4 linked regions of the Elephas maximus indicus genome follow. The protein of the gene in region 3 purifies or fractionates together with the protein of the main gene of each other region. This does not show direct contact. Links are inferred from orthologs where the notes say so. Each region holds a gene or a part of one and is shown on either strand. Other genes may lie near its edges.

Evidence for each region.
Region 1: the proteins of WWP2 (region 3) and GPN3 purify together in Homo sapiens (affinity purification with mass spectrometry; 3 studies listed by BioGRID and IntAct, with this or other methods). This does not show direct contact. The link is inferred for Elephas maximus indicus from reciprocal best matches to the Homo sapiens genes WWP2 and GPN3.
Region 2: the proteins of WWP2 (region 3) and AMOTL1 purify together in Homo sapiens (affinity purification with mass spectrometry; 3 studies listed by BioGRID and IntAct, counting the BioPlex papers as one, with this or other methods). This does not show direct contact. The link is inferred for Elephas maximus indicus from reciprocal best matches to the Homo sapiens genes WWP2 and AMOTL1.
Region 4: the proteins of WWP2 (region 3) and POLR2M purify together in Homo sapiens (affinity purification with mass spectrometry, with the first as the bait; 3 studies listed by BioGRID). This does not show direct contact. The link is inferred for Elephas maximus indicus from reciprocal best matches to the Homo sapiens genes WWP2 and POLR2M.

Annotation. Positions count from the first base shown.
Region 1 is NC_064840.1:9,049,617-9,057,337, forward strand, and holds the start of GPN3 (GPN-loop GTPase 3), read right to left. Parts: upstream 3,167-7,721; 5' UTR 3,005-3,166; coding exon 2,957-3,004; intron 2,462-2,956; coding exon 2,353-2,461; intron 107-2,352; coding exon 1-106. Other genes in the region: protein FAM216A, read left to right, coding at 3,764-3,855, 6,161-6,201. UniProt on the Homo sapiens protein: Small GTPase required for proper localization of RNA polymerase II (RNAPII). May act at an RNAP assembly step prior to nuclear import.
Region 2 is NC_064825.1:26,223,724-26,231,088, forward strand, and holds the start of AMOTL1 (angiomotin-like protein 1), read right to left. Parts: upstream 3,236-7,365; 5' UTR 3,152-3,235; intron 1-3,151. UniProt on the Homo sapiens protein: Inhibits the Wnt/beta-catenin signaling pathway, probably by recruiting CTNNB1 to recycling endosomes and hence preventing its translocation to the nucleus.
Region 3 is NC_064839.1:36,065,232-36,073,337, reverse strand, and holds the start of WWP2 (NEDD4-like E3 ubiquitin-protein ligase WWP2), read right to left. Parts: upstream 3,299-8,106; 5' UTR 3,222-3,298; intron 1-3,221. UniProt on the Homo sapiens protein: E3 ubiquitin-protein ligase which accepts ubiquitin from an E2 ubiquitin-conjugating enzyme in the form of a thioester and then directly transfers the ubiquitin to targeted substrates.
Region 4 is NC_064831.1:47,823,589-47,831,323, forward strand, and holds the start of POLR2M (protein GRINL1A), read left to right. Parts: upstream 1-4,617; 5' UTR 4,618-4,762; coding exon 4,763-4,875; intron 4,876-6,771; coding exon 6,772-7,419; intron 7,420-7,735.

The sequences.
Region 1 (7,721 bases), on a different chromosome or scaffold from region 3:
AAATTATTAGCAAAGTACTCCATGCAAAATACCAATCCTCCATTGGGACCGAACCGCAGGGAGTCATCCTCCATCACATCATCGACCTCGATCAGTTCCCGGATGTCTGCAAAGGCACGACAGGGCCCAGGATACCAAAACTTCCACAGAAAATTTCCTAACCTTACTAGTAAGAATTACCTACTATATAAAAAACTCACACGTATGAAATTACTTATGTACGTGGTGTCCACCGATACAAAATGAATGAAATACTAATAAATACCATCTCTCAGGTATACCGTTAAGTGAAAAATTCAAGCAAGGTGCAGAATTCTGTAAGTACGCCATCACTGGTGTTAAAAAAAAAAAAGATGAAAAATCACTACATATATATAACACACGTATGTATTTGATTGCATAAGACTTATCTGTGGAAGGACACACCAGAGACAGGTGATATTGGCTGCCTCAAGGGAGGGGAGCTGGGATACAGAGCTGGGAGGGAGGCTTTTTCCTATATACTCATTCTATTGTACCTTTTGCATTTTGAACCACGTGAATATGTACTACCTATTCCAAAAAAGTAAAACCAAACCAAACAACAACAACCAAAAAAACTTAGCCGGCATTAAAAATTTTTCTTCCCAACCACCATTCTTTAACATGATGACCCTACCAGAAGTGCTTAACCTTCCTGAGCCTCACTGTCTTATTTGTAAAATCGGGGAGAAAAATCATGTATCCTGAGGTGGAAGAATGAGGGTTATCTAAGAGAATGTACATAAACCACTGATCTTTGTAGCTGTTGTTAGCTATTGTCAAGTTGGCCCCCAACACATGGCGACCCCACGCACAATGGAACTAAATGCTGCCCGGTCCTGGGCCATCCCCATGACTGGTTGTGGATCAGACCATTGTCATCCACAGGGTTTTCACCGCCTGATTTTCGAAAGGAGATTGCCAGGCTTGTCTCCTAGTCCATCTTAGTCTAGAAGCTCTGCTGAAACCTGTTCAGCATCACAGCAACACAAAAGCCCTCACTAACAGACGGGTGGCAGCTATGCATGAGGTGCCCTGGCTGGGAACTGAGCTCAGGGCTCTTTCGTGGAAGGCGAGAATTCTACCATGGAACCACTGCCCCCAAGCCACCTATTAAGGAAAAAAAACCAAACCCTTTGCCAGTGGGTCGATTAGGTTGGTAGTCGATTACAAACTGTTTGTAGGAGCTTAAAAAATCCTGGTATATACGTGGTTCTCTCACCGTTATTAATTTTGACAAATCAGTACTTATAATTTTCTACCTCAGGTTTTTCCTTTGTGCTCAAACCCACAATCTCCACTTATGGAGAACTGGGCTTCATTTTTATACTATAGCAAAACCTGTGAGAATCAGAACTCGACAGGACTGCTTTGTTTTTCTGGGCCTCTCAAGTTTTCTGCCTTTGACAGGGTGCAGCTTACCACTTTTCTATTGCTCTCTGTTAGGAGAAAATATTTTAGTTTTCTTTCTCTGACAGGTTTCGGCCTTACACAGGTTCCAGCTTTTGCAGGTTTTACTGTAATAACATCTTCCTAGGCCCTCCCCCAGGGATAAAGAACTGACCCAAGTTGGGACAATAAAGTTGGTCTCCTAAAAGGATGAACCAAGGACACTAATGGGTCTGAGACACTTGGATCAGAGAGTGATGTGAATCTCAAGTTGAGGAAACCTTGTTGGGCCATATGCATCCCCAAAAAAGTAGGTCTACCAGTGGGATAAAAATACTGAGAGACAGAAAGCCTGCTCAAACATCTCCTCCTCAAGAGACATCATCCATGCCCACCCCACCTAAAGCAGCCTCCTGCAGTTATTCGCCATCATCCTGTTTGCAGTCCTTAATACAAATGTGCAGATGTTTATCACTTCATTTACTGCCTATCTCCCCCACGAAAAGGTTCATGAGGCAGGGATAGTATCGTCCTGTTCTCTGCTATAACTCTGGTGTCTAGTATAAAATAATTCAAAAAACATTTGAATGAATAAATTAAACAAAAAAAAAAGTTTTTTTTAAACCTCAAAAGCCTAGGCTGCTCACTTATAGTGTGATCAGCACTATACCAGATTCACTACAGCTAGACTAAGCATTTAAGGGAGAGAAGGGAAGGGTGATGCGGAAGGAGTTCACTCACTTTTAATTCTTTTCTCAAGGACCAAGACACAACATCAGGAGTGGCTGTCACTAAGCAACATTTTGCCTTTCCAGTTCACCATGTGTGCTAAAATCATATTTTGGAAACCAGGGAGCTGACTGTAATAACTAATTTCTCAACTTTCCTCCTGAACAGCGAGCACCTACTCTACCTGACCTCCCCGATTTTCCCTGGACTCACCGGCCATCACAGAGTAGTTGAAGTGCTCTGCTGCAGGATCTAAGTTCACGACTTGGACAGACCGATTGAGGGCTTCACAGTGCTGGACCATGGTGGCACAGTAGGTGCTCTGTAATGTCACAAGGCCAGGGGAATGAGAGAAGAGGCCAGGGACACCACTATCCCCTAGAAGAATTCTCCAACCCCTTGAGGCAGTGTCCACTAAGGCCAAAACTATGCTTGCGTCAACCAAGCTCTGAAAAACACTGCTACGGTTCTGGAGTTGGACAAAACTAGGTTCATATTCCAGCCGTCACTTACTAGCTCAGTGACCTTAGGCAAAGAACTTAACCTTCTGTACCTTTTTTTCCTTCTCTGTGAAGTAAAAACGCGACCAGCCTCAAAGAGTTGTTGTGGAAAATCAATGAGGCGTTTAGCGCAGTATCTGGGGGCGAAAGCATCCGACAAATACTAGCAATTGTTGCTACCACCCTTTCAAAAGAATGAAATAGAGCAGAAGAGAGTTACCCAGGGTTCCCACTACATACACCCGCTTCTCCATACCTCAGGACCCGAACCCCCAGCGCCCCACGAACTCCGACTTTTCTCTCCTTCAAATCCTCACCTTCCCGCTGCCTGCGGGGCCCATGACCAGTTGCGCATACCGAGGCATACCGGCCCTCGGGTTCCCAGCACCGTCTGCAACACCGCACCAAGAGTGGGACCACCACGCTCCGCTTCGCCTTCGCGCGACGCCCACGGAATTCCGGAAACACGACGTGCGGACCAATCACAACCCAAGTTCCTTCCGGCGTTTCCCGTTCTGCCACACGTCTTACTACGGAGAGGCTCGCGGGCCAAGCCCGTGTGAAACGCGTCCTGAAGAAATGCCTGAAGGGGTGGAGTAGAGCCTGGTGTTTGCGCGTGCGCAGAAGCAGTTGCGGAAGTCGACGGTTGAGTACAGGCGAAGCCTGGTTGCCTAGGTGATAACGGATAACGGATAACGCTCAGCATCCTTGCGCCGGATGCTTTGGCTCTTGGTTTACGAACGAATGTTTGGTCTAGATGGCGACACCCAAGATTTGCAAATTTGCTTAGGGTCTGGAATATCGAGGTGGAAGGCACCTCTTGTTTTAAGAAGAATGTATAGTTCCTTCCCGTGACGCATCCCCTGCACAGAAAAACGCAAACGTGCCAAGGCGCGATCAACTGCGAACCCTCGGCCCCTCCCCCAACGTAGCTCTGGGATCGCGATCAGCCCGCCCCGCTCTCCCGAAGCTCTTCGGGCAGTGTCCGGACCGCGTCGGAGGGGGCGAGACTCCGGCGTCCGCCTCTTCACCCCAATATCTCCCGGCCTGACTCACGAGTGCTGAGGCGAGGGAGGGGACGGCTGCTCCCGCACACGGCTCGCGCTCAGGGCACCGGAGACAAGATGCCAGGCCCGGGGCCAGTGTCCACCTGGACCGAGTGCAACTCTTCCGCAGAGCCTCCCGCAGCGGCCTGGACCGAGGGTGGCGGCGGCGGGTGAGGCTGCGGGGACCTTGGGGTTTGGAGGGCACCGCGAACAGCCCCGGGCTGTGGGGTTCCCGGCTGGAGGAGGGGTGGGAGCGAGCTGCTCCGCGAATGGACTGGTCCCCAGTGCACTGGAGTGAGAGAAGGGGAACGTTTGTTGGGGTCGGGATGGGAACATGGAGGCTGACTGGTTCACCGTGTAGGGGAAGGGCTTCTGAGGGAAGCCTCTAGGGAGGGTTTGCTGCAATGACTGAAGGCGGCGACTCCGACAGTCGCCCACGTGCACCTTTCCGCCCCGAGGGGGCGCTGAGAAACTTGCTGGATAAGTTGCCCTCAGGCTGGGCCGCAGTAGGTCGCTCTATTTAAAGGTTAGGGCAGCATAGGGAGAAAAAGTGCCCGGCCCCACATTCCGAGGGCTTCCGAGTCAATAAACCAGAGCCTTGTGTGTGTCAAACCGGAGTTCATAATCGCCAGGGAGACAGATGACTATTAATATTAGAGGCACCTTGATCTTGACATTTTCTTTACAATGAAGTGCCTTTCTTCGTTAACCCATTTCATTTTGGGCATGTTTTTACTGTTTCCTGGATGGTGAAGACAGCTGCTTAAGTCACTGCTGGAGGCCTCTGCTTTTATGCCTCCTTATCCCTTCCCACCATTATTCCCGTAAAAGCCAGAGCCATTGGCTTTTCGCTGCCCAATTCAGCCCATGGTCATGGCTGCGGCTGCAACCATTTTTTTTTTTTTAATATGTGGTGATTGAAGACTTCTTAAAGTTGGGACGGGTCGTGTGTTTCTTTCCGGTTCTTCACAGTGCTTGAGAAATTGCTGAATTCTAAATATATCAGGAAATCAATAAACCCTTGGTCATTGAGTAAATGAGAGGAAGAGAGAAGGAAGGGTGTTTTGACTTAATCTGAGAAAAGAAAAAAAGAACTTGTACAGAATTAGAGACATTCTGGACCTATTTATCAATTCCAGCATACCTCAATTACATATAACAAAGAATAGAATAGTCTTTTATTTATTGTGCTTTAAGTGAAAGTTTACAAATCAAGTCAGTCTCTCATACAAAAACTATACACACCTTGCTATGTAACCCTCGCTGCTCTCCCCCTAATGTGACAGCCCACTCCTCCTGTCCACCCTGTATTCCCAGCGTCCATTCAATCAGCTTGTCTCCCTCTGCCTTCTCATCTTGCCTCCAGACAGGAGCTGCCCACATAGAAGTTCACTCCTCGTCAGTATCATTTTCTGTCTTATAGTCCAGTCCAATCCCTGTCTGAAGAGTTGGCCTTGGGAATGGTCCCAGTCCTTGGGCTAACAGAAGGTCCGGGGGCCACCACCTCTGGGGTCTCTCCAGTCTCAGACCATTAAGTCTCGTCTTTTTATGAGAATTTGACGTCTGCATCCTACTGCTCTCCTGCTCCCTCAGAGACTCTTGGTTGTATTCCCTGTCAGGGCAGTCATCGGTTTTAGCTGGGTACCATCTAGTTCTTCTGGTATCAGGCTGATGTAGCCTCTGGTTTATGTGGCCCTTTCTGTCTCTTGGGCTAACAGTTACCTAGTGTCTTTGGTGTTCTTCATTCTCCTTTGCTCCAGGTAGGTTGAGACCAATTGATGCATCTTAGAAGGCCGCTTGCTAGTGTTTGAGTGTTTTTACTTACCAAAGTGGGATGCAGAACACTTTCTTAATACATTTTGTTATGCCGGCTGACCTAGACGTCCCCTGAAACCATGGTCCCCAGACCCCCTGCTACTCTGGTCTGGAGGCGTTTGGTTATATTCAGGAAACTTCTTTGCTTTTGGTTTAGTCCAGTTGTGCTGATCTCCCCTGTACTGTGTTGTCTTTCCCTTCACCTAAAATAGTTCTTGTCTACTATCTAATTAGTGAATACCCCTCTCCCTCCCTCCCCACCCTCGTAACCATCAAAGAATATTTTCTTTTGTGTTCATAGGATAGTCTTTTCAGTATCCAGATTACTTAAAACAGAGCAAGAAAATGCCTCGTGATTAGCACAGGAGCCCATACTACTTTACTGAGCGCACTGTAGGAAGTGGGAGGCTGTAAGAGTAAAACCAAAGTAAATCGTTTCTAGTATGGTAAAAGTCACAGATAACTCACTTTCAAAAAGCCTGGCGCTAGCAGAATTTAACAAGAATTACAAGAAAACTTTTACAAGACATTATGTCTGCTGGAAACATGGAAAGTAAAAGCTATATGGAATACTGCCCCTTTTTCATTTTAAATACCTCTTTATTGCCTATAAAGCTGTCTATCATATATCATTTACCCCCCCCCCTTTTTTTTAAACAGATCAGCAGGACATTCTTATTACCAGAATTCCAAAGGTACTGGTGAGTATTGCATATAAAGCCAATAATACCTATAAATAACCTGGTTCAGAGAAGCCAATATGCCTGTAACTACTTACACAATAGAATTTTAAAAATAGGCTTCATTAGCATAGTTGGTGAACTAAGTTTTTAAGATTTTCAAGGAACAATCCAGCAGGTTCTTTCTCTCCTGTCAATATCACATCAAGCATTTTTAAAAAGGTATTTCAAAATCAGCAATGAATTGAATTAGCTACTTTTATAACTGATGTTGGTTGAAAAGCACAGCACATAGCTTGGGGTTTAAACACAGATTAAAGGAAAAATTCTAAATATAACAGCTTTAAAGAATAAAAAATATTTCCCAATGCAGATATTTTCCTCTCACTTGAAGTAAATGATAGTGCTTTCAAAGTATTTACTCCTTCTCTGCTTGGAGTAAACAGAGTAAGACAGGCCCCCAAAGACCTCTTAGTAATTGCTTTTTTGTGGGTGGGGGGGGAGAAGGGAGATGGAATTTACTGATCTCAGAATATATATTTTTTAAAAAGCACAGTAGTTGTAGTTTTTAAATGTCTCATTTCAATCCAACTATATATAAACTTGGACTCACATTTGCCTTTCCTTGGAAAATTTACAGTCCTTAGAGTCCTTATAGAAAAAAATATGTGCATGCATATTGTATGCTACGTGTGTGTATGTGATTAGATAAAATGTATTCATTTTAAATGTGTTTAATTTTGGTCTCATTAATTTAGATTCCTACCTAATCAAAATTTTTACTGAATTAAGAGTTAAATGTAAAAAAGAAACAAAACACAAAATTAATTGTTTCTCATCCCAGACGTGGAGGAAAATGATTTCTCTAAAGAAGAAATTTTAACAATTATCAGTAAATGGAGTAAATCAATTCAATTATATGAAAGCAAAATTTCTAAACATCAAAATAAAAGTTTGTATACTGTAGGACCCTACTCACATTAAAAACATACATATATGCCTAGAAAAATCTCTGAAAGGTAACATTTCAAAAAGTTTTAAATGGTTACTAATGGATAGTGGGATAGTGTTTTTACTTTCTTTTATTATACACTGTACTTCGCAAATCTACAATGAAAGTTATTAGTTATAATCAGGAGAAAAAGGCTAGTACTTAACAAATGACTTATTGTTTTCCTTTGCATTTGGAATTAAGGCCTCACCCTATTTAATATAAACATTACAGTCAACTCTCAGAGGGGAAGCTGGGTATTATTTTGAATCCGATTTAACACAACTAAAATTTGACAGCCATCAAGACAATGAGCAAAACCCATTTTTCAACTAGATTTAGTAAGACTTTATAATCGCTCTAACAATAAACTAAAATCAAAACAAAAACCACTGTCGTAGTTTCCGACTCATAGTGACCCTATGGGACAGAGTAGAACTAACCAATATGGTTTCCAAGGAGCTGTAGGTGGATTCGAACTGCCTATCTTTTGGTTAGCAGCCGTAGATAGCTCTTAAGCACTGTGCTACCAAGACTCCATAAAAATAAA
Region 2 (7,365 bases), on a different chromosome or scaffold from region 3:
CACGTGGGGTCTCTCAGGAAGTTGCACTCAGATAGTGGCTAGCTGGGTTTGGAGACATTTAAAGACTTCTTTCCTCACATGTTTGGAGATTGAGCTTGAATGGCTGGAACAACTGGAGGCTGTTTGGGTTTTTCTCCACGGACTTTCTTCACATAGCTAGCTTGGGCTGTCTCTCAACATGGTAGTTTCAGAAAAATTGGCAGTGGTGCTCTGGGACCAGCTTGTGGCCCTTTTAAGAACTGATTGCATACCTCTTCTCAACTCTGCATTCGGTATAGCTTGCAACTGGCCGAGATGGGATTATTTACACTATGGAAATTGGCAAACACTATACTTCAGCACTCTCTCTCTTTTTTATTCCCAGAGAGCCAGTTTACATGGTGGTTGACTTTCCCCAGAGTGAGTGAAACAAGAAATCGACGAGGAAGCTGCAAAACTTCTTAGAACCCAGCTTTGGATGTCCCAAAACATCACTTCCTTCTCATTCCATTGCATGCAAGTCCCTAAAGTTAGCTCAGGTTCACCTCTCCATGGGAGGAGTAACAAAGAAGTGTATATTTTAAGACCCAGCACAGAGCAGGTACTCAACAAATGCTTGCTGAATGAATAAGGTCACTTTTAAACATACATCTATACGTTCTAGAATCACTCTAAACTGGGAACATCAGAGAGACCAAGGATTTTTAAATCCCCAAGAAGCCTAAATATAAATTTGCTTGATATAGCATTATTTACACTCTGCAGGTATTCACATGCCTGCTTACTCAGGCCTTTCCTGCTTATGTACTCAGTTGGGAACGTATACATGGCAATCACAGATTGCTTGTTTTATTGATGCTTTTGGGCTGTTTAGGTTTGATTTATCTCTTTAAGTAGATGGTGAGTTCCTTAAGCGAGTTCTCGTATATTTCTTTGCCATGCCTTCTTTCCACCATGTTAAATACAGATCATTATACACACACATATGTAAAAATACTTTCAAGACATTGTGATTAGAAATTATAAGCTTTAAAAGGGAAAGAAAGAAAAAAAGAAACCAAAACTTCTTAATTGCTTGGTTCAGAGTCTTCCATAATTGTTCAATTAACCCTTATATTTACTCAGTGAAGTAAAAAAAAAAGTAGGTATTATTATTTCCATTTCATAGTTGAGGAAATGAGTCTCAAGAAGGTTCACAAACTTGGCCAAAGCCACAGTAGGAAGTGGAGCAGCTATGATTCAAATGCAAACGTGTGTGGCTCCAAGGGAGCTTCTTGCATTCTCCGTGCTTTCTTCCCACTGCAATACATATCCCCTAACTCCTCCCCTTTTCTCTCCCCACTTCCTTGAAGAATCCACAAGAGTCATAAAAATGAAAATGCTTCCAAAAACCCATGTTCCAAGTTCTTGTAAAAATGCCCTCAGAAGCCTGGGAAGACAAGAAGCTTAAGATGTCTTATACTAGGATGAGCACGATCCTGGTGGCAGGAAGACCAGCTAGGAGGCAACTGCAATAACTCAGGCAAAGGGTGCTTGTGGGCTGAGCCAAGGTAATAGAGGTAGAACAGAGAGATGTCAGAAATGTTGAGGCATAGTAAGAAGACAGAATCGACAGATTAGTGATTGATTGGATTGTGCAGGTGCTGACCAATCATCTTGGAACCATCACTCTGATTGCTGCCAGGAAGGTAAGACTGGAGAGACGAAGCCTAGATGAAAGCTTTCAGTGTTCCTGGTAGAAGATGATAAGGTCTTAAACAAGGATAATGGCCAAGGAGGTGGAGAGAGCTGGGTGCAGTTGAGAGATATTAAGTTGGAACCTGCTGGATACTTGCCAAACCAGATGTGGAATGTGAGGAAGAGGGAAGGGTCAAAGGAGAAGTCCAGAAATCTGTCACAGACAACCAGGTGCTTTTCACTGAGCTAGGAGCATAGAAGGGGAGCTGATTTCAGGTGAGTATGGATTTTGAGCATGATTGAGTTTGAGGTCAATGAGTAACCAAGAACTGGTAGCCAGTATGCAACTGCATTTAAAACCAAACATCTTTTTTTTTTTTTAATTTTTATTTCTGATAGTTATTGGAAATATGTACAGCTAAACATATACCAATTCAGTAATTTCTTCATGTAGAATTCAGACATTAATTACATTCTTCAAGTTGTATAACCATTCTCACCCTCCTTTTGAAAACAAAGCATCTTTTATCTAAATGAGATCCTTTGCTCCCTTCATAGGTTATAGATGACTGCAGCCAATGCTATTTGTGGCAGGGCTCTGTGTCAATCAAGGAAGGGGATCTGCAACTCTCAAATGTTTCTACTTCGTAGGGGCTCAGCTCTCTCCAATTGCCATTCATCACCCTGCAGGCGCCTGTGTCATAACCAAAATGTCTCTACTGAGCATTTGAAAGCTAAAGTAAGACTCTACGATTCAGTCAGTGACAGTGACTTGTATAACTCAGAGAAAGCAGAGGGAGATTTCAGTGGACTGTGCACACATAAAACAAGATTTCACGTCCGTTTTCTTAGAAGAACTCATATGGGCAGGCACTAAGATGTTTTTGTACATTTCTGCCTCACCTGCAGCCACACAGCCATTGTTTACACAAGGTACTTGCATGTCAGGACAGGAAGCCAGGGCTCCTTTGTCTCCCCTACCCTCTTGAGGAAGAAGGGAAGCATTCAAGCCAGCTAATGAGCAAATGAGGGCTCTTCAGAGAGCCGCTGCTTTTCTGCACATCAACTGTTATCAGAACCTTCTGAGGGTTATTCTATCCAAAACACAAAGCCAAACATTAGGAAAGCAAAAGAGGGTACAAATGGCCCCAGCCCAAAGAAGACCACTTGCAGCTGCTTCACCAACGTGCTCAGTTCATTAAACAACTAAGAGAAACCAAACCTGGATTAGATGTCCTTGACCACTCTGAGAGTCCACCGTCTCAGCTCAGGGCTGAGTGGGGTTTCTGCTTACCCAGCCCAGGGCTGCCCCACCCACCAGGTGGAGACCAGCTGCCTGGAAAGCAGCCATTCTTTTCATTTCATCGAGTGTCCTTCAACCTTAACCCCACCTCTACAAACAAATGCCCTCCAAAGTTCCCCTCAAATCCCCCTTCCCTGGATTTTTTTTTTTTTTTTTTTTTAATAGAAACCCACTAAAGAAGAGTTTTCTTACCTGAGAGGAGGTCCTAGGTGTGCAGCAGTGGAGAAAGCACCAAGTTCTAACAGAATTGACAGGGACTCACGGGGCAAGTCAGTTGGTTTTAAAAGAAGAAAGGTGACTTCATCCCTGGTGCCATGGAGTTTAAAAAGAGCAACGAGTACTCCCCGCCTGAGCCAACTCTGCTCCATCCAGTGATGACTCCATCCAAATTATGCAACCATTGCCCAGACATGCTGAGCCTTCAGAAGGTAAATCTTTGGAATCTGACTAGCCTGTTGTTTTCAAAGAGCTTCAGAACGTCCCGAAGCACCAATCGCCTTAACCGGCGCCAGGGAGGAGGAAACCATGCACTTATTTCCCTGAGTCTTATCATTATCTCTAAGAATTCAGCTGTCTGAAAAAAAACGGTACTCTAGGGAAGGAAAACAGGTTTAAACTTCTGAGAGGTAGAAATTCTCAGAGGGCAGGGGGTGGGAGAGAGAAACAAAGACATTTCAGTCTGGAGGAAGGGCAATAACCCAGATAGGGCAATAAGGGAGCTGGAAATTATCACCTTGCTAAGAGGTTTTCAGAGCTGGTGGATTTGTAAGTACACATATACAAAGCTGAAGCGAAAGCTAGTGCAGAGGGGCAAGCGACTGTATGGAAAAAAAGAAGTGTGGCAGCCATTCTAACCAAATTTTGTTATTTTCATTTTGTTGATGAAGTACTAAGGTGCTCAGGTCGTATAGTGGTTAAGCACTCGGCTGCTAACTGAAAGGTCAGCAGTTCAAACCCATCAGCGGCTCTGAGGGAGAAAACTGTGGCAGTCTGCTTCTGTAAAGATCACAGCCTTGGAAACCCTATAGGGCAGTTCTGCCCTGTCCTATAGGGTCGCTATGAGTTGCAATCAACTCGATGCCAATGAGCTTGTAGTACTAGTCAACCAAGCCTGGATTGCTTTTTTGTATGTTGAGGGTCAGGCTGGAGCAATTGGACTTGTAACAAGAGATTCTCGGTTACTTCAGTGCTAGGCACCTCCCATTTGGTGCCAGGTTCTTGGGCAAAAACTTCAGGCAGGACTTCTGGCTGGGATGCCAGGACAAGGAATGGCAATGGATGTGAGCTCTGTTAGAAGTGGGGTGGACAGCTTGGCAGCTGACTGCCCTTTCTTCCTCAACTCTACTTCAGGAGAGGGTAAGGTAACTCTGGGTCACTAGGCATGTGTCCAGGTTCTTGCTGAGCTGTTCTGAGGTTTGACAGATTTTCTTGTGTCACATTTCACTCCAGAGAGGCTAAAAGAAGAAGAAACCCTTTTCTGTTCAGATAGAGGTATTCAGGCCCAACATTAGAAAAGGTTTGGTTTTTGAACTTGGAAATTTAAGACATTTCAGACTGGCTTATAAAAAGAATTTGCTAGTCTTCTGTCCAGGGTGTAAATAATGATAGAAGTAGAAGAGGAGAAGAGGAACAGAGTTTGGACACTGGTAGGACTGATGAAGGCAGGAATCATTTTTGTTTCATTCACCATAGTATTGTCAAAGCCTAGCACAGAGGCTGGCGTTCAGTAGGCACTCAGTAGATAGTTAAGGGGTGAATGACCTCAGACAGCCCACTCCACTTCCAGGTATGCCATTTTACTATTTGTTTTCTTTTTGTTCCCCCCCTTTTTTTTTTTATTCCTCTGCTCCTCCTTTTGCTTTCTTTTGCATTCATATTTTAAAATTCCATTTTAATCTATCTATTCGCTTTTTGGAGCCCTGGTGGCGCCGTGGTTAAGTGCTACACCTGCTAACCAAAAGGTCAGCAGTTTGAACCCACCAGGTGCTCCTTGGAAATACTATGGGGCAGTTCCACCCTGCCCTATAGGGTCACTATGAGTCGGAATCAGGTTATTGGCTTTTTAGCAACACATCTTTGCATTATATTTTTAGTGGTTGCTTTAAGGATTAAAATATATATTCTTTACTTTTCCCAGACTCCTGGGAGTTAATATTGTACCACTTCATGTAAAACATAGGAGTCTTGCTACTGGTTTGGTGTATTTACCCTCTCTACCTCCTCCTTTATGTTGTAGCTGTAATAGGTATTTCCTTTATATACACTCTGAACTCCACAATACAATGCCACGTTTTTTCTTTAAACAATCACGTAGTTTAAATAAATTAAGCTGAAGAAAATGGTATTTTATATTTACACCATTTACCATCTGAGATGTTTTATGCTTTCCTGAATAACCGAGTAGCCATCTAGTTTTATTTCCCTTTGTTTCGAAGAATGTCCTTTAGTCTTTCATGTAGTGCAGGTCTACTCGTGACAAATTAGTTCTGCTGAAGGTGTCTCATTTCATCTTCATTCATCAAGGATGTTATTGCTGGATATAAAATTCTGGTTGGTAGGTTTTTTTCTTTAAGCATTTGAAGATGTTGACCCACTGTGTTCTGGCCTTCATTGTTTCTGGCCTCCATTGTTTCAGTGGCATTTAAAATCATTGTTCCTACTCTGCAAAGTATCTTTTTTCTTTGCCTGCTTCCAAGATTTTTTCTTTGCCTTTGTCTTTGATTTTTGGCAGTTTGACTATGTAGGATATGTCTAGGTGTTTTTATTTATTTATTTAATTTTGTTTTTTTATATTAATCCTTAGTGTTTGTCAAGGTTTTGGTATATGCAAATTTATCTTACACAATTGGGAACTTAGCAGCCATTATTTATTCAAATACTTTTCTGAAGCATTAGTTCTCTCTCTTTCTGGGACTCCAATTACATGTATGCTAGACCTTTTTGTATTGCCCAAAGATCCTGAGTCTGTGAATTTTTAAAAAATCTGTTCTTCAGTTTGGATCATTTCTGTTGATCTACTTCTGGTTCATTGAGTCTTTCCTCTTCCATCTCCTTTATGCTATTAAGTACATTTAGTGATTTTTAATTTCAGATACTATATTTTTCAGTTCTTAAATTTCATTTGATGCTTTTTTATAGTTTCTGTTTCTCTGCTAAGGTTTTCTATATTTTCATTCATTATGAGCCTATTCCTTACATACTTGAGCATAGTTATAATAACCCATTGCTGTCAAGTTGATTCTGACTCATGGAGGCCCTACAGGACAGAGTAGAAACCATAGGGTTTCCAAGAAAGAGCGGTGGGTTCAAACTGCTGACTTTTTCATTAGCAGCCAAGCTCTTAACCACTGTGCCACCAGGGCTCCATGGCTATAATAGCTTCTTTAAAATTATTGCCTGCTAATCTTTTTTTTTTTTTTTTTTAATTCTGATATCTAGGTCTGCACTGGAGTTGGTCTCTATTGATTATCTTTTCTTTTTTAAAATGTATCATGCTTTCCTGTTTTATTGTATTTTAAATAATTTTGAAGTATATCCTGGTCATTACCAATGATATGTTATAGAAAGTTTGGATTGTATTTTGTTCTTCTGGTAAGTATTGAATTTTTGTTATTCAGGCTTTTAAGGTGGCTGGACTGCAAAATTCTATCTTGATGGCAACAGCTGAAACTTCAGGTCAGTTCTTTTAACCCTGGCTGGGCTGCTTAGAGTCTGCCTCATGCATACGTGGATCAGGAGTCACCCAGAGGTTAGGCAGAGTTGACTCTCCCCTAGTTTCTGTCTGATTTTGTTCTCTCTCCGGTGCCTTCAGCTAGTTGCTTTTGTATCTTATCCAGAATTTATAGTTGTTACCTACAAAAGGGGAAACCCTGGTGACATAGTGGTTAAGTGCTATGGCTGCTAACCAAAGGGTCAGCAGTTCGAATCTACCAGGTGCTCTTTGGAAACTCTATGGGGCAGTTCTACTCTGTCCTGTAGGGTCGCTATAAGTCAGAATCAACTAGACGGCACTGGGTTTTTGGCTGGGTATCTACAAGAGGTTTGATCTAAAAGTTTCTACTTGGCCATCCCAGAAGCCTTCAGCTACCTTTTGAATCAGCAAGATAATTCATAGCTCTTAGCTGGAATACTAAGTGTTTCATTTCAAGCAAGACCTCAGATTGATTAGTAATGTTGAAAAGGATGTTGGGGCTCAATAGAAAGGGCAACATAATCAATAAGCAATGTCTGCTTTGGATACAGTAGGAGAAGTATAGGTCAGATATTTATATTTTCCATCTATTTATTTACAAAACAATGCATAATACTTAGACATTTGTAGCTACTAGGACATCTCTTGGAGTCAAAGTACTATATTTGCTTGTTTGACAGTTAATTTTCCCCATTAGGTGCAACTTTCAGGAAAG
Region 3 (8,106 bases):
CAAAGTGAGTCTGTTAAAACGTAGGATAAATCATGTCACGCCACTGCTCAAAACCCTCAATGGCCCCAACTCACTCTGAGTGAAAATCGACATCCTTACAATTGCCTACAAGGCCCTGAACAACCTGCCCATCTCTCCCTCTGCCCCTCAATACCTCCCTATCCCCCACCCTCACTTCCTTCCAGCTACACTGGGCTCCTGGAAGGTCCACAAACGTACTAGGGGTGCTCCCTCTTAGGCCTTTTGAACTTGCTGTTCCCTCTGCCTAGACCACTATGAGTCCACTTAGCCACATGACTCCTTCCCTCACTACTTTCAGATCTTTACTCAGCCATCACCTTCCCAGGGAGGCTTTTCTACATGCCCTATTTAAAACTGCAACCCCACCCAACACGCCACATTCCTCTTGTCTGCTTTCTCACAATATATATTTACTTCTTTGTTTTGCTTCTGCCTTTCCCCCCTAAAATTTAAGATCCACGAGGGCAGGGATTTTTGCCTCTCTTGTGTACTGCTGTAGTCCCTGCGTCTAGAACACTGTCCAACAGAAATATAAAGGGAGCCACAAATGTAACTTTTCATTGTCTAAGATCTACCTTTAACCCAATAAATCCAAAATGTTAACATCTACACTATACATATTGTAATGCAAATAATACAAAAATACCAAAAAGATGTGTTATTTTTTTTATACTAAATACTCAAAATTTTATACTTACAGCACATCTGAAACACTGGACAGCCACATATGGCTAGTGCCCACCATACTGGACAACGCAACTCCAAAGAAATGCCTGGCATAGAGTCGGCACTTATAGTCATTGAATGAAAACAACATTTTCCCTGAAATAAGAGCCAACTGTGGCATAGTACGGAGCCCTGGTGGCGCAGTGGTTAAGCATTCAGCTGCTAACCAAAAGGTCGGCAGTTCAAATTCACCATTCACTCCTTGGAAACCCTACGGGGCAGTTCTACTCTATCCTATATATAGGGTTGCTCTGAGTCGGAATAAGGTTTTTCTGGGTTTTATGAGTCGGAATCGACTCAACAGCAACAGGTCTGGTTTGGTTTTATGACACAGTACAGGGTTTTCTAAACCTCCATTATTCACGTTCTATAAGCATGATTTTTGCTGTGACCTTTATTATTAGTGTTTTTCCTTAAAATGCCACGTATTTTTATACTTGAAAAAAATATTTTCAAACAATGTTTTATTATGTTCATAAATGAAAAAGAACAACTCTGGGGATAAAATGACCTGGGCATGACTCCCTGCTTAGTCATTCACTAGCTCTGGGACCTAAAGCAAAAACATCTCTAAGTCTCGGCTTCTTCATCTGTCAAGCGGGGACAATATTTACCTTCACAGGATCCTGGTGACGATTAAATGAGATGTTTGTATAAGCTCTTTGTAAATGGGAAAGTAGTGGAAGAGACTGAGAAGCCAAATGAAGCCTTTCTCCCATGCCTATCATTTTCATATAGATCAATAATAGAAAATAGCAAGCCTATCAGATAAGAGCAAGGATAGACGATGTGAGTGCAAATCCCTTGTCTGCCACTTACCAGTGTGTGACGTCTAGAAATTAATTTATTCTCTAAACATTTGCCAAGTGCCTACAACATGCCAGACCCAAGGCTAGCAGCCAAATAAGCCAAATAAGATATGAACCCTATCCTTGAGGTATCTGTAGGCTAGTAGGGAGAAAGGAGGAATCCCTGGATAGCAAATGGTTAAGCTCTTGACTACTAACTGAAAGGTTGGCGGTTTGAACCCATGGAGAGGCATCTCAGAACAAAAGCCTGGTGATCTGTTTCAGAAAGGTCACAGCTTAAAAACACTGTGGAGAGCTGTTCTACTCTGCAACACATGGGGTGGCCATGAGTCTAATCCACTCAATGACAACTGGTTAAAAGGGAGAAAGGGACAGCAAACAAGAGCGAGCAATAAATTGTTAACAATCAATTCATCTCTCTTAGGCCTGTGTTCATTGTGAAATGGGAATAACACCTTTCCAACCTAACTCACAGGACTGCTACAAAAATTAATTTAAATATGTTCGTCAAATACTCCAAAAACTTGGACTCATAAACGTAAGTACTTTTTTCCCAACTTGTAACCCAAAATGATTCCTGTTTCTGTGAAGGTCCAGTTTGAACATTCCCTGCAGTTACACTGCACCATGAAGTTCATTTCCCTTTTGCAAATTTCGGTAAACGTGAAGAGAAAGAGGAGGGATGAAGAGCTTTAACGCAGATATTTAACCTCAAAATCATGATTCAGGCCAGAGTTCTCGCAAACACAACACAGACCTCTCAGTCACCCCTACCTAGTTACAGTTTGTCAAGATAAGGACTCACGTGGTAAGGGAGGCTGAATAATTTAGACCTAAGAAAAATGAAAAGTCATAAAGCAGTACAGGTGAACACTCCTCCGTCCCAGGTTTCAGCAGACACTATGTTGCTGAGATAATGCTGGGCTGGGTTGCGGTCAACAGTTTAGACTAAAAGCCATTTTACCGCCAAAGTGCCCATACTTTTTTTTTTTTTTTTTAAAGCCTTGACCATGACCTGATCTGGGAAAATCTCAAAGAAAGATGATCTGAAAGGCTAGGTTCCCAAGACGTGGAAACCCTACCAAGCAGGACTAAAGGGCTGGTGAGGACAGCAAAATGATCAAGATTGTATGATGCCTCCTTAAGTTTATAAACTGAACGGAACCGGAATCAAAGTCTCTGGTAACAAACATTTCCAAAGAGGAAGGAAAGAAAGAGACTCTCAGACGGGGTTCAGGAAGCACCTTCATCCAGTTCTCCCTCTTTCCCTCCAAGTCATTCTCACGCACCCTGTTCTAGCCCAGTTGCAAAGCACCCCTTCCTCCTCTCCTGATCCCTCCACAAAGGTCACTCCTTTCCATCCCTGGGCACCTAAGGTCCTCATCTTTCGGAATGACCTGCTCCCCGCTGCACCCCTGGCTGCCTTAGCGCCCTCCACCGAGAAACCCCCGCGCGCGGCCCGCGGCGCGCCCACCGACTCGGGCAGGAGCCGGGACACCCCTCCTCGGAGGCCGGAACCGCCGCGCCAGGCCCCTCCCACAGGAAGCCACCGCCCCCCGGCGCCCGAGCCGCGCCGCCCCCGGTCCACCCCGTGCCGCTTGTCGCCCCCCGCCCGCTCCGCGCCGCCCGCCAGCCGGTTGCGTTGCCCACGCCCGCGCTCACTACCTGCCGTGACCACAGAAGCGGTTTCCAACTCCTCTCCCACTTCCGCCTCCCACCGCCCTCACTCGGGCAGGGTCACGTGAGAGCGCGCGGTCACCTGACTCGGAAGAGGCTGGCCGGGCTCGCAGGTGTGGGCAGCCGAAGCTTGGCAGCGGTGTTTTTGGTCTTGGAAAGACTTTCTCATTGTTAGTATTTTTCAAAGTGTGAGGGTTTTCCATCGGCAGGCTGCTCCCCTAGCAGTCATGAATTGAGGGTTCACTGCGCGCCAGGTGTCTCTTTACCGTTCCCATCAATCCTGTTGAGGCGGGTATTATCATTACCCCCCTGCACAGGTGAGAGGAAAAGATTCAATGAAGTAAGGTTGCCAGAAAAATACAGGATGCCCAGTTACATCAGGGCAGATTATCCGATAGGCAAGGTAAGCATGGTACTTACTTTGCTTACCAGATCATCAGTAGAGAACAAATCTCACATGTTTTCACCACATAAAAGATTCTGCTTCTAGGTATGGCTAGCATCTGTCTGTTTCCCAACACCACAACACCTTCCTGCAGAATCAAAGCTTCTTTACAAATGCACACTCCCTGACAGGAGTGAATGACCCAGTAAGCAAAGTAAGCACAAACTTACTTATGCTTGCTACTCTGTACTGAACAATTTTATCATGTAGTGAAACCGACTCTACCACATCTACCAGTGAAACCCTGCATACCTTGCCTATTGAATAATCCACCACTATAAACATCACTTTTTTGTATATGTCGCATCTGATATTTAAGTATGTCCTCCACCACTATAAACACCACTTTTTTGTGTGTATGTCCCATCTGATGTTTAAGTATGTCCCGGATATTTCATGTTGTTGCTGTTGTTAGGTGCCATGGAGTTGGTTCTGACTCATAATGACCCTGTGTACAACAGAACGAAACACTGCCGGGTCCTGTCCCATCCTCACAATCGTTGTTATGCTTCAGCCCATTGTTGGAGCCACAGTGTCAGTCCATCTCCTTGAGGGTCTTCCTCTTTTCCAAGGACCTTCTATTTTACCAAGCATGATGTCCTCCTGCAGGGACTGATCCCACCTGATAACATGTCCAGAGTATGTAAGAGGTAGCCTCGCCATCTTTGCTTCTAAGGAGCATTCTGGTTGTACATTCTCCAAGGCAGATCTGTTCATTCTTTTGGTGGTCCATGGTATGTTCAATATTCTTCTCCAGCACCACAATTCAAAGGCGTCAGTTCTTCTTCGATCTTCTTTATTCATCGTCAAGCTTTCACATGCACAGGAGGCGATGGAAAACACCATGGCTTGGGTTAGGCAACACCTTAGTCTTCAAGTTGACGTCTTTGTTTTTAAACACTTAAAAGAGGTCTCTTGCAGCAGAGTTGCCCAGTGCAGTGCTTCCTTTGACTTCTTGACTGCTGCTTCCATGGGTGTTGATTGTGGATCCAAGTAGAATGAAATCTCCGACAACTTCAGTCTGTTCCCAATTTATCATGATATTGGTTATTGGTCCAGCTGTAAGGATTTTTGCTTTCTTTATGTTGAGGTGTAATCCATACTGAAGACTGTGGTCTTTGATCTTCATCAGTAAATACTTCAAGTTCTCTTCACTTTGAACAAGCAAGGTTGTTCATCTGCATCAGCATGTTGTTAATGAGTCTTCCTCTAATCCTGATGCCCCGTTCTTCTTCATATAGTCCAGCTTTTCAGATTATTTGCTCAGCATACAGATTGAAGAGGTATGGTGACAGGATACAACCTTCATGCACACCTTTCCTGATTTTAAACCACATGGTATTTCTTTGTTCTATTCAAACGGCTGCCTCTTGAACTATGTACAGGTTCCTCATAAGTACAATTAAGTGTTCTGGAATTCCCATTCTCTGCAATGTTATCCATAATTTGTTATGATCCACAGAGTTAAATGCCTTTGCATAGTCAATAAAACACAGGTAAATATCTTTCTGGTATTCTCTGCTTTCAGCCAGGATCCATCTGACCTGATCAGCAATGATATCCCTGGTTTCACATCCTCTTCTGAATCCAGCTTGAATTTCTGGCAGTTCCCTGTCAATATACTGCTCCAGCTGCTTTTGAATGATCTTCAGCAAAATTTTACTTGTGTGTGATATAAATAATATTGTTTGATAATTCAGTGGGATCACCTTTCCTGGGAATAGGCATAAATATAGATCTTTTCCAGTCAGTAGATGTCTTCCAAATTTATTGGCATAGACAAGTGAGTACTTCCAGCACTGCATCCATTTGTTGAAACATCTCAGTTGGTATTCTGCCAATTCCTGGAGGCTTGTTTTTCACCAATGCCTTCAGTGCAGCTTAGATTTCTTTCTTCAGTACCATTGGTTCCTGCTCGTATGGTACCTCCTGTAATGGTTGAACGTCAACCAATTCTTTTTGGAATAGTGACTCTGTATTCCTTCCATCGTCTTTTGATGCTTCCTGAGTTGTTTAATATTCCCATCATAAAAAAAAAAACCAAACCCATTGCCGTCGAGTCGATTCCAACTCATAGTGACCCTATAGGACAGAGTAGAGCTGCCCCACAGAGTTTCCAAGGAGCGCCTGGTGGATTTGAACTGCCGACCTTTTGGTTAGCAGCCGTAGCACTTAACCACTACACAACCAGGTCTTCCATTTCCACCATAGAATCCTTCAATATTTCAATTCAAGGCTTGAATTTTTTATTCAGTTCTTTCAGCTTGAGAAATGCAGAGCATGTTCTTCTCTTCTTGTTTTCCATCTCCAGGTCTTTGAACATGTTGTTATCATACTTTGTCTTCTCGAGCCGCACTTCGAAATCTTATTTAAACTCTTTTACTTCATCATTTCTTCCTTTTGCTTTAGCTACTTGGCATTCAAGAGCAGATTTCAGAGTCTCTTCTGACATACCTTTTGGTCTTTTCTTTCTTTCCTGTCTTTTTAATGACAGTCTCTCGCTTTCTTCATATGTAATGTCCTTGATGTCGTTCCACAACTCATCTGGTCTTCGGTCATTAGTTTTCAATGTGTCAGATCTATTCTTGAGATGGTCTCTAGATTCAGGTGGGATATACCCAAGGTCATACTTTGGTTTTCATCAACTTGTTCTAATTTTCTTCAGTTTCGACTTGAACTTTATATGAGCAATTGATGGTCTGTTCCACCGCCAGTCAGCACCTGGCCTTTTTCTGACTGATAATTTTGAGCTTTTCCATTGTCTCTTCCGACAGATGAAGTCAATTTGATCCCTGTGTATCCCATCTGGCAAAGTTCACATGTATAGTCACCATTTATGTTGGTGAAAAAAAGTATTTGCAATGAAGAAGTCGTTGGTCTTGCAAAATTCTATAATGGGATCTCTAGCATCGTGTCTATCACCAAGACCATATTTTCCAACTACTGATCCTTCTTTGTTTCCAATTTTGCATACCAATATGCAGTAATTATTGATGCATCTTGACTGCATGTTTGATCAATTTCAGACTGCAGAAGTTGGTAAAAATCTTAAGTGTCTTCACATTTAGCCTTAGTGGTTGGTGCGTAAATTTGAATAATAGTTTTATTAACTGGTCTTCCTTATAGGTGTATGGATATTATCTTATCACTGACAGCATTGTACTTCAGAATAGATCTCGAGTTGTTCTTTTTGACAATGAATGCAACGCCATTCCTCTTCAAGTTGTGGTTCCCAGCATAGTAGACCATATGATTGTTGGATTCAAAATGGCCAATACCAGTCCATTTCAGCTCACTAAAGCCTAGTATATCAATGTTTATGTGTTCCATTTCATTTTTGATGACTTCCAATTTTCCTAGATTCATACTTCATACATTCCACGTTCTGATTATTAATGGATGTTTGCAGCTGTTTCTTCTCATTTTAAGTCATGCCATATCAGCAAATGAGGGTACTGAAAGCTTGACTCCATCCATGTCGTTAAGGTTCACTCTACTTTGAGGAGGTAGCTCTTCCCCAGTCCTCTTTTGAGCACCTTCCATCCTGAGGGGCTCGTCTTCTGGCACTATATCAGACAGTGTTCCACTGCTAGTCATAAGGTTTTTACTGGCTAAATCTTTTCGGAGGTAGACTGTCAGGTCCTTCTTCCTAGTCTGTCTTAGTGTGGAAGTTCAGCCAAAACCTGTTTGCCATGGTTAGCTCTGCTGGTATTTGAATACCGGTGGCATACTTCCCAGCATCACAGCAACACACAAGCCCCCACAGTATGACAAACTGACAGACAAGTGGGGGAAATACTGCATGGGATATATTTATACTAAGGAGCTCTGGTGGCACAATGATTAAGTGCTAGGCTGCTAAATGAATGGTTGGCAGTTATAACCCACCTAGGAACTCTGTAGGAGACAAGACCTGGCAATCTGCTCCAATAAAGATTACTGCCTAGGAAACTCTACGAGGCAGTTCTACTCTGTCCTATGGGATTGCTATGAGTTGGAATCAACTCTTTGGCACACAACAACAACAACATATTTATACTTAAAAAGTATTCATTGTTTATCTGAAATTTAAATTTAGTTGGACATCTTATATTTTTATTTGCTAAATCTGACACTTCTACTATGTGCCAGATGCTGTTCTAGACTCTCTTATTGTTGTTGTAAGGTGTCTTGGATCACTTCCAGCTCACAGCAACCCCATGTACAACCGAAGGAAACACTGCCTGGTCCTGCACCATCGCCACAATTGTTACGCTTGAGCCTATTGTTGAAGCCACTGTGACAATCCATTTTGTTGAGGGTCTTCCTCTTTGTCCCTGACCCTGTACTTTATCAAGGATGGTGTCCTTCTCCACTGACTGATTCCTCCTGATGACATGTCAAAAGTACATGAGACAAAGTTTCGCCATTCTTCCTTCTAAGGAGCAT
Region 4 (7,735 bases), on a different chromosome or scaffold from region 3:
TTCAGCTATATGCATTCCCTCCCTAGTGGAGTCAGCTTTGCTCTTCCCTGAAGCATGCTGGGGATGAATCTGGGGTGGACTTGGGCTAAGGTACAAGGCCGGGAGGGGCATGACTGGGACAGTGGCTAAGGCCGAAGAGTGGCTTAGCAACAAGAAGGTAAACATCTGGGCCTGGACATGAAGTCCCTGGGAACACTGACTGCCCAAGGACGTGGGAGAAAACGATGAGCCTTGGTCCCAGCTGGAATGGTATATAAGCGTGGGTCCCTTGCTAGGTGGTTGCGGAAAATACTCCAGCCGGCCGCCACTGGAGAAAGCAGCTGCTTGCTCGTGTAAGTAAGTTTCCCTGAATAACCGTCTGAATCTGGAAAGGGCTATGTGTCAGTTCTTCGGATTATCTGCCAGGACGCACAGCGAGGGTCTTTCCTTGCTGGGGCTGTCCCCCGACAGATGGGCATATGGGGTGGGAAGTTGAAAGGGGTGGAAGAGATTAGAGTGTAGAGAGGAGAAGGGGAAGAATTGAAAGGTATTAAAAACAAAACAAAACCTGTTGCTGTTGAATTAGCTCTCACTTATGGAGACCCCATGTGTTTTAGAGTAGAATTACACTTCATAATGTTTTCAATGGCTGTGATCTTTCAGAAGTTAATCACTAGGCCTTTCTTTCAAGTCACCTCTGGGTAGATTTTCCAACTGCCAACTTTCATTTAGTAGCCAAGTGCTTAACCATTTGTGGCAACTGGAAACTGAAAGGTATTTAGGCTCTAGGATTTAGTGACTTGTTGGGTTGAGGGAAAAAGAACAGCCCAGCATGAATGTGTAACTTCCAGGTTGGGCGACTAGGAATGAAAACAGGAAGAGTGGGTTGGGGAGGGAAATATAAATGAGTACAATTTGGGGCATGTTCAACCTGAGAAGCCTTTGAGATACTGGATAGTAAGGGCCTACTCAGTATAATTCTAGCCCCAGGACAAAGAGCCAAAAGACTCCTTTGCTGAAAAGCCTGGAGAGTTGGTGCCATGGACTTTAAGGTAGGAGAGAGTTTTAGGAAGGAGAAAGTTGTCAACATAGTCAGGTGCAGGAAGGAAGATAAAGACTAAAACCTGTTCCTTGGATTTGAGGCCCTGGAGGAGATTGATGGCTCTGGCAAGAGCGGTGAAGTGGAGTCAAAGAGAGTAGACAATTCTTTTGGAATCTGCTCTCTGAAAATGGAAGAGAGGGTGGAAGCTAGAGGGGGATGTTTAACAGCTTTTTGGAGTTTAACTGACACATTCTTCACTGTACATAGTTAAAGTGTATAACTTGATAAGTCGATTCATTTGACTTATCAAATATATACCCATATAACCATCATCACAATCAAGATAATGAGAACATCCATCCTGCCCAAAAGTTTCCTCCTGTCCTCTTGGACTCCCTCCCCCAACTTCTCCCTGCCACCCCACATCCTGAGGTGATCACCAATCTGCTTTCTGTCACTGTAGATTAGTATTCATTTTAAATAATTTTATATAAATGGAACCATACAGTATACACTCATATTTTTCTGACTTATTTCACTCAATATAATTATTTTGAGATTCATCAAAGTTGGTGCATGTGCCATAGTTTTCCATTGTATGGATAGACCGAAATTGGTTTATCCATTCGCCAGCTGATAGACATTTGGGTTGTTTATATTTTTTGGATATTCCAAATATAGCTACTATGAACATTTATGTACAAGTCTTGGTGTGGACATATGCTTTCATTTCTCCTGGATAAATACCTAGCAAATGAGTGACTGGGTCATATGGTAGATGTTAAGTTTAACTTTTTAAGAAACTGCCAAACTGTTTTCCAAAGTGGTTGCACCATTTTATAGTTCCACCAGCAACGTATAAGAGTTTCAGTTGCTTCACAGCCTTGCCAACACCTGACATCATCAGTCTTTCTGATAAGTGTACAGTAGTATCTCATTGTATTTTTTATGCATATTTTCCTAATGGTTAGTAATGTGGAACACATTATTGTGCTTATTTTTCATCTGAACATTTTCTTTGGTGAAATGTCTGTTCAAATCTTTTATAACCTAATGTTGGAAGTGATATCCCATGACTTCTGCTGTATTCTATTTGTTAGAAGAGAGTAAGGGCAGCCCACACTCAATGGGAAGGGATTACATAAAGGTGGAATCATTGGGAACCATCCTAGAGGCTGCCTACCACAAATGGCTTAGAATAAAATCCCAACTCCATATCTTGATCGACAAAGCCCCATGGGATCTAGCTCCAGCCTTCCACACTGGCCTTCTTTTTCTGCTTTGAGCCAAGATTTATAATTGGCGAGGGGAGAAGGGATAGCCTTCTACAAGGGGAAACTGGCAGGGGACAAAATTCTGTGGCCTGAAAGAAAGGCATCCTTGCCATGGAAACGGTAGCCCAGGATCAGAGTATGGGGGTTCTCTACTGTGGCGGGGGGGGGGGGGGGCAGGGGCAGGGAAAAGACCTCCAGCTGCAACCTAGAGGAGGGATGAGGGAGGCCTTAGAGGAACTTGCCGAGTGACTAGGACCTCATTTGGGGACTTTAATCTGAGTTATTTCTTATTTAGCCACAGCTGGAGCCCTGGTGGCGCAGTGGCTGAGAGCTTGGCTGCTAACCAAAAGGTTGACAGTTCAAATCCACCAGTTGCACCTTGGAAACCCTAAGGGGCAGTTCTACCCTGACCTTTTAGGGTCACTGTAAGTTAACATCAACTCGATGGCAACGGGTTAGGTTTTTTTTTTTTTTTTTTTTTGGAGCGGGTTACTGAAGTTCTTGAAAGCAGGCAATTTCTTTTGATATATTAGTTAATCTGATCAGATGGACTAGATTGGGGTAGATACAGAAAAGTCTGCAACTACACTCCTGGGAGTAGCTCCAGATTTTATCTAGAGTGTTTGTCGGTCTGGTTGGTGGGGAGCTGCTTTGTGTTTATATAGCAACTTACACAATTTTTTTTCCTTTTTATCATTTATATTTGGTTTTTATTAGTTTTTTTTTTTAGTTTTGTTGTGGCTTTAGGTGGAAGTTTACAGCTCAAGTTTGTTTCTCATTCAAAAATTTATACACATATTCTTTTGTGACATTGGATGCAATCCCTGCAATGGTGCCTGACATGGTTTTGAGAAAGCTTCAATTTTCCGTATCAAAGAACAGGAAGAGTGCTGGAGCCCATGGGCATGTTCAAGCCTCCAAAGCCACATCTCCTATGAGGCTTGCAAGCTTCTTACACTTTCTTTCAGGAGACAGCTCTACGAGCTGAACTCTAAAGAGAAAGTGGGAGCTGGGTGTGATGCCTTTTACATTGCCTTCCTCTTCAAACAAACAAAACGATTTTGTTTTGTTTTGTTTTGTTTACCAATTTTATACATTTGGAAATAGGCCTGAAACGAAGAAAAGCATTTCTGAGTTGCATGTTGGAAAGAGCAGCTGAGCATTTGGGTTTGAAATCTGAGGCTATCACTTACTGGTTCTGTGCCCCGGGAATATTCACATCAGGTTTTGTACCTCTGTATTTCCATCAGCAAAATAGTAAGTTGTGAAAGAGAGATTCTCAGCCAGCTGTACACCTCCTACTGACATCCTCAACTCTTGTGAACCTTTGGGAATGGTGGGGTGTTTTGGGTTGTTATGATGACTTGCAAGTGTCATGGCAACTAGTCAGCAGAAGCCAGACACCAAATGGCCTAGAGCAATAACTGGGGAACCTTTCAACTTTAACGTTAACATCTAGGACCTCGCTAAGCCTTAGGGTAGGAGGAATCACACCGTAGGCCAAAAAACCAAACAGGCTGCTGTTGACTCATGATGATCCCAGGTGTTACAGAGTAGAACTCTTCCACAGGGTAATGGAAAGGAGTCCTAGTTGTGCAACGGTTAAGTGCCTGGGTGCTAACTGAAAGGTCAGCAGTTTGCCCTCCTTGGGAGAAAAGGCCTGGTGGTCTGCTCTGTAAAGATTACAGCTTAAGAAACTGTCCTATGGGACAGTTTTACTGTGTCATATAGGATTGCTACGAATCCCAATCACCTCGATGGCACAAAGCGGACTGCCAGGCCTTTCCTCCGTGGTGCCGCTGAGTGCGTTCAAACCAACAACCTTTAGTAGTCCAGCGCAAACGGTCTGCGCCACCCAGCAGTAATGACTGTCTTATGTGTTTCATTTCTCCAGGTTTGAACATAAATTTCATTGCTCAGGGATACCTTCTCTAAGTCCATCCCAATCTCGCTGTCATACTGTGTTACTATTTGGTTTTCTGCCCCCCTCCACGATGCTGTAAATTCCATAAGCGCAGGGGCTTCTCCTGTGAGGCTTGCAGGCTTCTACTTTCGGTGGCGATTTGTTCATTAACATACGCTGGGTAGTGACGTCACGGCGGCACTCAACTACTTTCCGAAGAAATAGATTAAAAAATACGACTAGACGACCCTAAAGAACCTAGAACCTAGCGCCGTCGAATCAATCCCGAAAAACAGGCGCGAAAAAAAGCCCTTCCGGCCGCTGAAGTTAGCCCCGTCACTTCCGCCCTCTCCCGCTCCTCCCGGCGGCCCCTTCGCTCGGTCTGTGTTTGTTTCCGCTGTGTCAATAAAGTTCGATTCGCCTCGAAGAAGCCCCGTTCTTCCGGGAAAATGGCGTCCCCCGCTCGCGCCCCAGAGTCGTCGCCGCCTGCGGATCCGGCGCTAGCGGCGGGGGCTGCCGAGGGAGCCGAGTGCCCGCCGCCTCGCCAGCCGCAGCCCCCGTACAATGTCCTCGCTGGCCCGCGGCTTCGAGCCCCTAGCTCCCGAGGACTGGGGGCGGCGGAGTTTGGCGGAGCTGCGGGAGATGTTGAAGCGCCAGGAGAGACTTTTGCGCAACGAGTAAGCTTGGGTCCCGCCGAACCAACTCCGGGATCCCGCGGTTCGGGCCCCCCGGGAAGCTCCCCTCCCTTTCCTCTCATCCGTTCCTTCTCTGAAGGTGACCTTGCCGAGCCGGCTTCGTGTCAGCCCCGCGGCGATGGACGGCCTGTGGCTGGCCGTCGCGGGGTCTCGATGGTGCTCGCCTGCTGGCCCGCCGTAGCCACTGGGCTGCTCTGGGACGCTCAGCCGGTTGAATTTCCTTAGCTACTGTGGCGGTTCCACGAAGGGTGTGTGCCACAGCCCCATTTATATGCCCCCCTCCCGCATACAGTGCCAAATACGGTGACGGCTCAGCACCATGTCAGTTTCCCTGGCAGACCCTGTTCTTGTGGGAACCGTAGGAAATGGGAAGAGTCGGATATAAAGAGTGGTTTATTAGGCCGAGGAAGTTTGACTCACGTTCGGATTTAACGGGTTTTAGTAGAGGGGTGATATAATAAAAATTAAAAGTGACTTTTTTTTAGGAGTTTAATTTAGTAGCAGGAGGGTTTGAAGGAGTCTGAGGCAGAAGACAGGATATTTTTAGGTGGGTTTCCAACAAGGGGTCGTAAGAACGTGAACTAGGAAGGTGGCTGCGGAGTAATTTGAATAAGTAGTTGACAGAGGTGATTGAAGTTCCCAGCCTGCTGCGAGAGCCATTAACAAAACTAGGGGAATTGGGGAGGGAAATAGGCTCGAGGTTGAATTGGGGCAGGGGAATAGGCCAGAGATTGACTTTTGCTAAGTTTAGGATATGGCAGGATAGACATCGGGCTAATTATGACTACTTAAAAGCTAGAGAAGTGGTTGTTAAACTTAGGGAAGAGAAGGCTGGAAAAAATACAGGAATCTCAACTGCAGAGAGGAGCTCTGGTGGCACAATAGTTAAGAGCTTGGCAGCTGACCAGAAGGTCACTAGCTCCAGTCCACCAGCCACTCCTTGGAAATGCCATGGGGCAGTTTTACTATGCACTAATAGGGGCACCATGGACGCGGACACATAGCAGCTACCACAGAGCTGCAGAGAGGTGCTAATGGTTGACACTATGGGAATGATTGTGTGTCAGAGAAAGACTAGAGGGCCTAAGATGTAATTTTGGTGAGCTTTCTGTCCCCGTTTATTGTGTGGCTATAGAAAAAGAAATCTGAAAAGGGAATTCTGCTACCCAGCAGAGGGGGCAAATAGTTACTTGGGTGTCTTGACTTGGCGAGGTTGGAATTTTATCTGTAGCAGCAAATTGTCTCAACTTTTTGGTCTCAGGGCCCCTTTATACACTTAAAATTATTGAGGATCCAGAAACGCTTTTGTTTATGAGGGTTATGTCGATAAGTATTTATTGATTTATTAGAAATTGCAACTGAGAAATCTTTAAAAACAAGGATATGTAAGCACACATTCCATTGAGCCTCCAGAGCAGTGGTGCCCTACATCAGGGTATCCTCTGGGAAACTCCACTGTACCCATGTGAGAAAAAGTGCGTGAGAAAGGCAGTACTATCTGAGTACTCTTATGAAAGTAGTTTTGACCTCGCAGACCTTTCCCCTTTCTCCCCAAGAGGCTCTTGAGGACCATACTTACAAAACTGTTGATCTGTTGGGACGTCATGTATGATTATTACATGCTTAAATGTGTTTACTAAGTTCTCATTGGATGAGACAAATGAGGCATATTCCTTGTTCTTGTACTGCCTTGATTATTGGGGTGTTTGGATAATGATTACCTTAATTGGTTTCATTCCCGTTTCCGGGCAGTTGAAAATCAGATTTTGATTTAAAAACCAGCTTTTCTCCCTTTGAGGATAATGCTTTGTCGTTTTAATTTTCTCTGAAGTTTGAAAACATGGCTCTAATGTATGCATGTTCTTTTCCATTTGACAGAAAATTCATTTGCAAATTGCCCGACAAAGGTAAAAAGATCTTAGACTCTGTTGCCAAACTGAAAGTGGCCGTTGCAGAACGTGAAGAGTTCAGAGGAAAAAGTCAACTCTTTCATCCTGTTAGGTTAGACTGTACAGTAAGGCAAACAGTGACCGCAGGAGTTGATGTGGACACAGCTAAGGCTCAGAATTCTGACCAGATACTTCATACTTCACCACCAGTTCCTGGCTCCTCCTCTGTAGATAACAGCAAGTCATCTAAAACAGCTTCACCAAAGCAGGGACTTGTACATCTCTTTCACAAAGGCAGTGAAGAGACTGCAGAAGCAGAGGGCATAGTGAACGGGCGCACAGCTCCTAGCAGCGGAGCCAGTGCCGCTTCCTTATCTGAAGCCAGCAAGTGTCTCCCACAGCATCTTGTTTCAAGACAAGCAGAAGATAGTTCCAGCAGCTCCGACAACCTGATTGTTGATAGGTTACAAAGGATCACAATCGCAGACCCAGGGGAGCACCGCTCAAGGGAAAACACAAGTACCGATAACTTGACAGGCCCTCGTAGTGGGGCCCAGAAGAAGCCACATTACATGGAAGTGCTAGAAGTGCGAGCCCAAAACCCAGTGCCCCCACCACATAAATTTAAAACAAATGTGTAAGTACCACTGGAATGGGTCTATCACAGAGCATTTGTTAAAGAACATAGTGTTAGTTAAGACTAAAAAAAAAAAAAAAAAAAAATTCCATGGGCTTTGTGTGAGAGCTGCTTGTACTTAGGAATAAACGTGTTTGGAAAACAACAGCCTGGCTGGAGTGGAGGAATCATGTTAAAAAACACTTAAGTGCTTTAGCCAAATAATTGAAAAGGTTTTAAATGACAGATGGGGGAATATTCAATTTCAGGATACTTAATCAGTATTTAACAGTAAAACAGAAATTTAGAGAGGAAATTTATGCTTTTTTTCCTAGAA